Linked DNA regions of Arabidopsis thaliana. The protein of the gene in region 1 interacts with the protein of each later gene in a pairwise test. Each region holds a gene or a part of one and is shown on either strand. Other genes may lie near its edges.

Region 1 (5,423 bases):
GAAATGAAAAGATATGGGTGGTTTATATAGAACACGTACCGACACAAACAAAATTAACTTCAAGTTTAAGCTCCAACCTTCACTTTTACTAAATTGAAGCTATGATTATACTATAAGTTGTGGTAGTTTTAATTAGTTTTTGGATTTTAAAAGCAAGTTCTATTTCCACGCAATTTCCTAACATTTTACTTTGTCCTCAAAGATAGTTTCTTTTAACCTCAAGTTAACCATTCTATCAAGGAATACCGTGTGATGACAATGCAATAATCACTTAACTCTATGTTGGTGATGTTAGTTGTAATCTCGTAGCTAACGCAATTAATTTTTCATGTTGGCCTAAACTTTTTTTTCTAACGCTAATAAAAATAAAATTCTTTTCATATATTTTCATATTTGCTTTTGATGAATTAATTGTTATTTGATAAATTAATATGAATCAAAAGATTTGTCATATAGACAAAAACAGAATGAAAAACAACTTAAACTCTAAGTTTTGGGTTTGGACTTTGGACTATACTATAAGTTGTGGGGTTTTGAATATTTTTGGATTTTGCAATAAGAAAAGAAATTAAATAAGATGATGAATTGTTTTAGATTGTTACTGAGTTTTTTGTTTTGTTTTTTGTTCTGTCAAATACCAAAGTGATCATGATTGAGAATGGTTAAAATCTTCCAAAAACTATAGCCTCTCAACTTTAGAGGAAAATCACTTTAAAAAAAAAAACTTGAATCGGTAAGAATGAGTTTCTCAAAAACAAAAACCATTACAAAATCTAGCGAACCTTCAACAAACAAGATCATACTCTTCAATTTAAAACTATCTTTCTTATGGAAGAGGTGTTCCTTATTTCCATATCTCATATCTAAAACTAAAACCTTGCTTACTCTGCTGTATAATTTGGAACCCATTAGCAAGCTTTAGAAAACAACGATCTTTAATATTTGCAATCTCTTCAAAGAAAACGAATCTGAAACTTTTTTCTCACTAAGTTTTTCTGGAGAGTAAGAAAAACAAACCCAATTTTCCAATGTAGTAAAAAACGAGAAAATACAGAACAAAACCTCTGTCTCTACAACTAAAACATCTTACAATGAACTCTTTTGCTTTTGATTACCAATTTCTTCCAACCGTTTCCACGTTGCCTCACGTTTTGCGCCAATTTCAGCTTCTTTTGATTCATCTTCTCTAAACTTAGCAAGACAATCCTTAAACAACTCTGCATCAATGTCATTAAAGATCTTCTGCACATTCAACGTCAAGCTATGAACAGCTTGGTTCCAATGCTTCTGAGTGTTTCTCTCCAATGCAGGGAATATGATTGGAAGAATAACTTTCCGGTTCTGCATTATTAGATTCTCGATATGATCGTTGTTCCATAAGAACAAAGCTCTTTCTGCAACCTGCAAAACAAAATAAAAAAAGTCTCAACCTTTTTGTTCTTTCTTGAGCTTGCTTATACAAAGATTCAAGCTTTCGAAATAATCACAAAGCTTTGTTCTTATGGATTCAATCAAAATATCACGCATTTCAATCTTGTAAGAATTGTTCCCATCATTCATGATTCACAGAATTAGCAAACCAAAGGAAAATACAATTACCTGAAAATGGAGACTGTTCAAACACCGAGCAACTTGGCGAAACAATGGGACCATACACCGTTGGAATTCAGGTGGTTGAGTTGCTTCTAATACTTCCTCTAGCTCGTTTAGAAACATGACTTCTTTGGAACTATTTGTGACAGGCCAAGACTTGAGTAGTCCCCTTATAACCGTATCAGCGAGTTTGCAATCTTTTTCCACAAACTGTGTGATACAATAAGACAATTGCTGATGATACATTTGCAAGCTTTTCGGTTTGTGAAGAGGTACCAAAGCTCTAACCAAAAACACTTTATGCTCGTCTTTAAGCGGCAGAGCAAATCCATTGATGATACTTCCCAAAATCTCTAGAAACTCAGCAATCCCATTGTGTTTCTCAGTCTCGAAAACAAACCGATAGAAAATGTTATTAATGGATTTCCTTATGAAAGGACGATGAACCATAAATTTACCGTAGATGCGATGTAGAACGGTCTTAAGACAATCTCTTTCTCTAGGATCCTCTGAATCAAATAAATCAAGTAACCTTGAGACAAAAGATTGGTCAATGTATTTCTTAGCCAGCTTGGTGTCTGTCTCTGGTGAAGCAATAAGCCGCAGGAGAATTTCATAGACAAGCTGCAAGTGAGGCCAAGTAGGATCCATAGAAGGCTCTTCTTCCTCCAAGTCTAACGCATCAATAACTTTATTCTCGCGCGGTTGAGGATTCAAGGTTCTGAATATGTTAACAGAAACCATTCTAACCACTTCTTGAATCACAGTTTCACTAAACTTTCCATTAGGAGAAGCTACATAATCCACAAGCTCAAGCAATGTCTGCCGCTTAATATCCTTTTCCTTAACGTTCTTCGTTGGATCCGAGAAATCGAAAACAACACAGCACAAGCTGAGTTTTCTCACAAACAAGTTCTGTTTCTCTGCATTAGGAACATCTTTGAAACCTGGCAATGCTTCATATGGAGTGAAACCGTTACCATTTCCTTTCAAATTCCCTTCTTTAAACCCTGAATCAGCAGAAGGTTTTACAGGAGGAGCGTTCTGGGTTTGAGAATTACCCGATTTACTGGCGCCATTATCACTACTTTTTGAAGTGGAACTAGATGAAGAAGAATGGTTCTTAGAAGAAGACTTCTTAGGAAGCTTACTCAGAATCTGTTTCCACATAGTGTATTAAACTCAGATTCTTCTTTGTTCATATCCCCAAAACAAACATCTAGAAGAACAATTTCATCAACTCCATCTGAATAACAGAACAAAAAAACAAGAAAAACAGATTAAGAACCTGAAATATTGAAGATATGATACTAAAACACACACAAAGTTAGTTATATCAAGAACCTGAAATGGAGATAAATCCCAAAATTTACCAAATTTATTACAACAAAACCATTTTTTCTTCTTCTTTATTCACTCACGAAACTCAGAAACAGAAAAAAATCACCACTACAAACCATAAAAATCGAAACTTTCGATTCTGATTCTGAAACAAACGCAATCACAAAATCAAAAATCAAGAGAAATCGCACATTACAACACCTCCGATTGCACAAAACAAAGGTCAAAAGTAGGAAAAAAAAAACGATGAATAATGAAATAAAAAAAGCTTACAAAAATTCACATTCAAGTTCTTCTTCCAAAAAAAAACCTCCTTCGATGTTGTTGATTGACTTTGAAATTAAGAATTTGTACCCTTTAGATTTGGCTCAAATCATTGCGAATTGTTGTTATTGTTCTTGATTTTGGTTTTCTTTCTTCTTCTTTGAGATTTGTGACTTCTCGTGATCCAGTTATCTATCATTCTCTCTTCTCCTCCGATGGCTGATCAAACTTTTTTTTCTCAATTCTATTTTAATTTAATTTTAATTGTTTTTTTATTCCCCTTTATTTTAATATTGTTTTTTTTTGTGTGTGTGTTCGGTCTGGCCTGCCAGGTCCACTCCTCCCTCACTTGAATTAGTAATTTTTACAGAATTTTCAAGCTGACAACACTTCAAAATGTTTTAAAATTCCAGATTTTAATTGCCGACCGTAACACTATTATACGACATAGTTTTGAATGTATGTAATAAAATCGGTTATATTGGTTTGGTTTTTCGGTTCAATCTTTCTTGTGTTTAATACAAACTTAATTTCGGTTTATGGTTTTAGTTATTGTTTTGTTCCAAAGAAGAGTGTCTCATTTCTTTTTTGACATTTTCTCCCTTCGAATCTTTGATGCATTTGGTCTTATGGATGCACACAAGATGTAAGTTATATATCAGATGCCAAGGTGATGAAGTTTGATGCATCAAGATACAAACATCACATGCTAATATTTGCAATAACAGATTGACATTACAAAGTTTATATGGCAAAAACATTCAAACCAATTTATATAACCAAAACTTTAAATTTGTAATTATCCTTATCCAAAACCAAATCTCTAGACTAAGATAGAGAAAACCTAACTTAAAGTTAAAACCTTTTTTTTCATTTTGTTCTGAGGGGGCTTTTGTGTTGACGGTGGTGGGAACAAAGGAACATCGTATCCATTCTGTCCGGGAAACACAGCAATGTTCATTTCCGACAAATCTCGTCCTACTGATTTCTACAAAGACGATCATCACAATTCCTCCACCACCAGCACCACACGCGATATGATGATCGATGTACTCACCACTACCAACGAATCAGTAGATCTACAATCTCACCACCACCACAATCACCACAATCATCATCTCCACCAATCTCAGCCACAACAACAGATTCTCCTCGGAGAAAGCAGTGGAGAAGATCACGAAGTTAAAGCACCAAAGAAACGAGCGGAGACATGGGTTCAAGACGAAACTCGTAGCTTAATCATGTTCCGTAGAGGTATGGATGGTTTATTCAATACATCCAAATCTAATAAACATCTCTGGGAACAGATTTCGTCTAAGATGAGAGAAAAAGGGTTTGATCGATCTCCGACTATGTGTACTGATAAATGGAGGAATCTGTTGAAAGAGTTTAAGAAAGCTAAGCATCATGATAGAGGAAATGGATCGGCGAAGATGTCGTATTACAAAGAGATTGAAGATATTCTTAGAGAGAGGAGCAAAAAAGTGACACCACCACAGTATAATAAGAGCCCTAATACACCACCTACATCAGCCAAAGTTGATTCCTTTATGCAATTTACTGATAAAGGTATAAACTTTGGCATCAATTGTAGATTTCTTGATTTGGATTCAGAGAACGTAACTGTGATTATGGTTTTTGTTGCTACTATTTGGGAAAATTCTTATCTGTATCTTAGGCTGAGAAGATACTACATTTTAGAGTAGGTTTCTTATTGTGGTTTTTCAGTTATCTTTAAAGAAGATGATAGTTTTGGTAAATGAATCTGCGTATGTGGATTTTGTGCCTTTAATTTTCTTTTGGCTAAGTGGTAATTTTATCTTTCATTGTAGGTTTTGATGATACGAGCATTTCTTTTGGATCCGTTGAAGGTACTTATCTATCACTATTAGTTTGTTTATTATAGTATCTTGCTATGTATACAAAGAGACGAGCTTTTGTTTGTCTACTGCCTCTTGAAGTTGTCTTTTAAGTTGGTCGAAAACATCTCCCTGAGTGAGCAATAGTAGAGGTATGAACTTGCTTAGTGAAGTGAACATTTGGGACTGAAACAAATAGTAAACATGACTGTGCCGTAGAATTCACAGGCAGTTTCTGTGTTAGATGGTTTAGTTTTGTTTCTAGAGGATGTGTGTGTGTGTGTGTATGTTTGAAAAGTGTATATATATCTATGTTTCAGCTAATGGCAGGCCAGCCTTAAACCTTGAAAGGCGTCTTGATCATGA
Region 2 (3,784 bases), on another chromosome or scaffold:
AACAGCTACGGTCTGGTGTTTTCTTGAAACCCAAGAAACAGGTTCATATTCTTTTTAAGAATTAGCTCACTTGTGTTTCTATTTTCAGAAAATAACTACGCAAAACGGAGCCTTTAGGTAAACAAAATTGCAAACACAGAACTTCTGGTTCAAAAAAATTGAATCTCTCATTTCTAAAATAAAAAGTAGCTTAAAAAAATGATCAGATCACAAAACAAACGTTTCCATTCTGCTTGGTTTAGAAAGACATGATTGCTACTTCCACATAGGTTTCAAATGCTTCGAAAGATAAAATAAGATAGAACTAATGGACTAAAGTAACACTATCAAAATGGTAACTTTTTGTTAAGAAAATCAATCTTAATATATTTAAGACGGACCATGAATTCATTTGGTTTGATGATCTGCGTATAATATATATTAAACAGATCAAATATTGGGTGGACGAGAGAAACAGCAACTGCTTCATGCTCTTTGCAAAGAACCTCTCTATAACTTGGTCTGATGACGTCAACTATTGGACTTGGTTTACCGAAAAAGAGTCACCAAAGTAAGATACGTTTCATTTAAATCCCATACTATGAATGTTACCACAAAATGAATATCTTTGTTACATATTTGATTTACAATAGAGTTGAGTATGAATCAAAGTATCCTTGATAAATTCGAAACAGGTTACGACGTTTTAAGTTTGTGTGTGTATATTATAGCAATATTAATACGAATTTTGACCTATAATTATTAATGCAAAGTGACAAACTTTAGTTTGTTTTGGATGATTTTTAAAGCGAGAATGTGGAAGCTGTGGGATTGAAAAACGTTTGTTGGCTCGACATCACGGGAAAATTCGACACGAGGAACCTCACTCCGGGGATTGTTTACGAGGTAGTCTTTAAGGTGAAGCTAGAGGATCCGGCCTATGGATGGGACACGCCGGTGAACCTAAAGCTAGTCTTGCCTAACGGTAAGGAGAAACCACAAGAGAAAAAGGTGAGTTTGAGGGAACTTCCAAGGTATAAATGGGTCGATGTCAGAGTTGGCGAGTTCGTACCTGAGAAATCCGCTGCCGGAGAGATCACTTTCTCAATGTATGAGCATGCGGCTGGTGTTTGGAAGAAAGGGCTCTCCCTCAAAGGTGTTGCAATTCGTCCCAAACAGTAATAATTGTTATGGCATAGAAAAACATAAATCTCCATATGCACCAATGGACCTTCTCAACATATATTTCACATCATGTCATGTGTGTATAATAAGGTTGTTCTATCGTATTTTTAGTTTTAATAATAACTTTAATGTTGGTGTTGAATAAACTCAAAACGAGTGTTTTGAAGGTTGTTATATTCGAATCAATTCATTTACAATGTTCTAACTTTTAACGAGCTGACATGAATTTATTTTTGGTAAAAAAATAAAAAGTAGAAAGATTTTCTATGAACCTTAAACCTAGTTAGATCCTATCAAAACCCATATTTAATTTGGCATAAACAATATTTTCTAAACATGTGTAAAATATCCACATAATCTCTCAATTAGGCATTTTTGATAGATAATCTTAAAGGTATATGAGCGAACAGTCTATATGCGTGGATCATGTTCACTTTTTAAAAGAGTATTCGAAAATTCCATTTTGGTGGAGAAAATGGAAGAATAAAGCTAGCTAACATATCAAATGAAAAGTATAAAGAATCAAACATGTTTAACAAGACGTAAAAGAAAATGGAATATATTCCAATCAAAATTTTGTTTGCGATGTGTACGGTGTACCATTTGTTTAATTTATGTATTCTAAAGTTTGATGATACTTACAAAAATACACTAATGGAGAAGTCTACTATATATAGCCAAGAGCCCAAGAGGTTGGGTACAAGTCTAGGTAGTTCAGCTATTTTTGGATATTTTGACATAATTTAGATAATTTTGTGTTAAACATTTTGAGAATTTTTGGATTTCGACCATCAGATAAGAAATTACTTAATCTAATGAATAATTTAGTTATACAAAACATTCAGGTCGGGAAGGTATAATCATGAAATTCCTCTATAAATAAGACCTGAATACAATAGCTAGTAAAAGAAGAAGAAAACATATAACGAAAACACACAAAAATAATCAAGGAATGGGAATAATATGGTCTATCTTCTCAAAGACAAAGCCACATAATAACAACGAAGACATACTAAAACATGCAGACTCTCCTCTTACTCATGATACGACGTCGTCATCTCAGGTCGACGATGACTTTTCCTTGAAGCACAAGACAGAGGTCGTAAATCTTTTTTCTTAGGTTTCATTGTCTAACTTTCCTCACCTTGTTAAATATGATACTAATAGTTATATTTTATTGATGTTGGAATCTCTTATTCAGAAGAACTTGATAGAGGAAGATGAGGGTAAAGCGAAGAAAAACTGTTTCATGTTGTACGCGAGAGATCTCTCAATTACATGGGCAGAGTCTCAAACAAATAAATATTGGAGTTGGTTCTCTGATCTTGACCAAACATCAAGGTTATGAGTTTTATTGTAAGAAAGTTACTTTTGTGTTTTTTTGTTTTTTTAAGATTTCACTAAATTCTGCATATTTGTATACACTATACAGTGATGTAAGAACTGAGGTTGCAAAGATGGAACGAGTAGCTTGGTTAGAAGTTGTCGGAAAATTCGAGACGGAGAAACTAACTCCCAACAGTTTGTACGAGGTTGTGTTTGTGGTCAAGCTAATCGATTCTGCTAAAGGATGGGATTTTCGGGTTAACTTCAAATTGGTTTTGCCAACCGGAGAAACCAAAGAGCGGCGAGAGAATGTGAACCTGTTAGAAAGGAACAAGTGGGTGGAGATTCCGGCCGGTGAGTTCATGATATCACCAGAACATCTCTCTGGCAAGATTGAGTTTTCGATGTTGGAGGTTAAAAGTGACCAGTGGAAGTCTGGTCTTATTGTGAAAGGTGTTGCTATTAGACCCAAGAATTAGAAAATCCAAACTTGTAAGCTTAAACAATAATAAGAACACGAAATTTATTATGATGATGATTTATGTACACGAGGCATGAGATTTATTTGCTATATACAGACACAAAGACACACTTGACGACACATTACAAAGGGAAGATGCGTTTTTATGCATCAACAGAGACACTTACAGCATTGAGCTCTACATGTTGTCTACCATCGCTTTGTGGTTGGACGGTTAAGGTTGCACGAGCTTCAGCTTGAGGGTTTTGATCATCTCCAGGTTGAGAGACTGATATGGAGTTCACGGTTGACCCGGTTGTGCCGATATTGTTGTCATCTGATATGATGTCCCACGATTCTTTCACGGAAGCAACCTCGAGTCCATTCTCATGGAATTTCTCAAATTCATATGTGGTGGGAAGGATGACATAATCGTTTACTGGGTTGTAGAACGGGTCTGGTTCGCCTACATTTAGCCATTTTTTGAGCATTCGGAAGACACGGTGATCGTTGAGGATTCCTCGGTGCTCACCAGGGACTCCAACTCTTGCTACTGCTTCAAGCCCATCCGCCTAGAAAAGAAACAACCGAAGGAACCGTTACAAAGAGAAATGATCAACCTAACTGATCGAATTCAAGATTTCCTTTCCTTGTGATGAGTTTATATAAGAAACACGATCATGCAACATACCATGGCAGATTCCATCGGGACTGTGCCATCACCATCCACGCATATATATGTCGGCTGAGATTACAAGAATATATGATCTAAGGTTAGAAGATGATAAATTGATAAGAAGATAACTTATTGCCAATTGCAATGATAGTTGATAC

What was found.
Region 2: the proteins of AT1G13460 (region 1) and PP2-A2 come close enough for resonance energy transfer, tested with the Arabidopsis thaliana proteins (one study listed by BioGRID).

What each region holds. Positions count from the first base shown.
Region 1 is NC_003070.9:4,613,844-4,619,266, reverse strand, and holds AT1G13460 (Protein phosphatase 2A regulatory B subunit family protein), read right to left. Parts: upstream 3,501-5,423; 5' UTR 3,208-3,500; intron 2,840-3,207; 5' UTR 2,764-2,839; coding exon 1,600-2,763; intron 1,402-1,599; coding exon 1,087-1,401; 3' UTR 818-1,086; downstream 1-817. Other genes in the region: GT-1 (Homeodomain-like superfamily protein), read left to right, coding at 4,152-4,767, 5,031-5,069, 5,378-5,423. UniProt on the Arabidopsis thaliana protein: The B regulatory subunit may modulate substrate selectivity and catalytic activity, and may also direct the localization of the catalytic enzyme to a particular subcellular compartment.
Region 2 is NC_003075.7:10,774,541-10,778,324, forward strand, and holds PP2-A2 (lectin-like protein), read left to right. Parts: upstream 1-2,072; 5' UTR 2,073-2,116; coding exon 2,117-2,263; exon of another isoform or gene 2,264-2,344; coding exon of another isoform or gene 2,345-2,365; coding exon 2,366-2,505; intron 2,506-2,596; coding exon 2,597-2,887; coding exon of another isoform or gene 2,888-2,963; coding exon 2,964-3,048; downstream 3,049-3,784. Other genes in the region: PP2-A1 (phloem protein 2-A1), read left to right, coding at 1-41, 429-550, 789-1,161; AT4G19860 (alpha/beta-Hydrolases superfamily protein), read right to left, coding at 3,115-3,522, 3,642-3,695.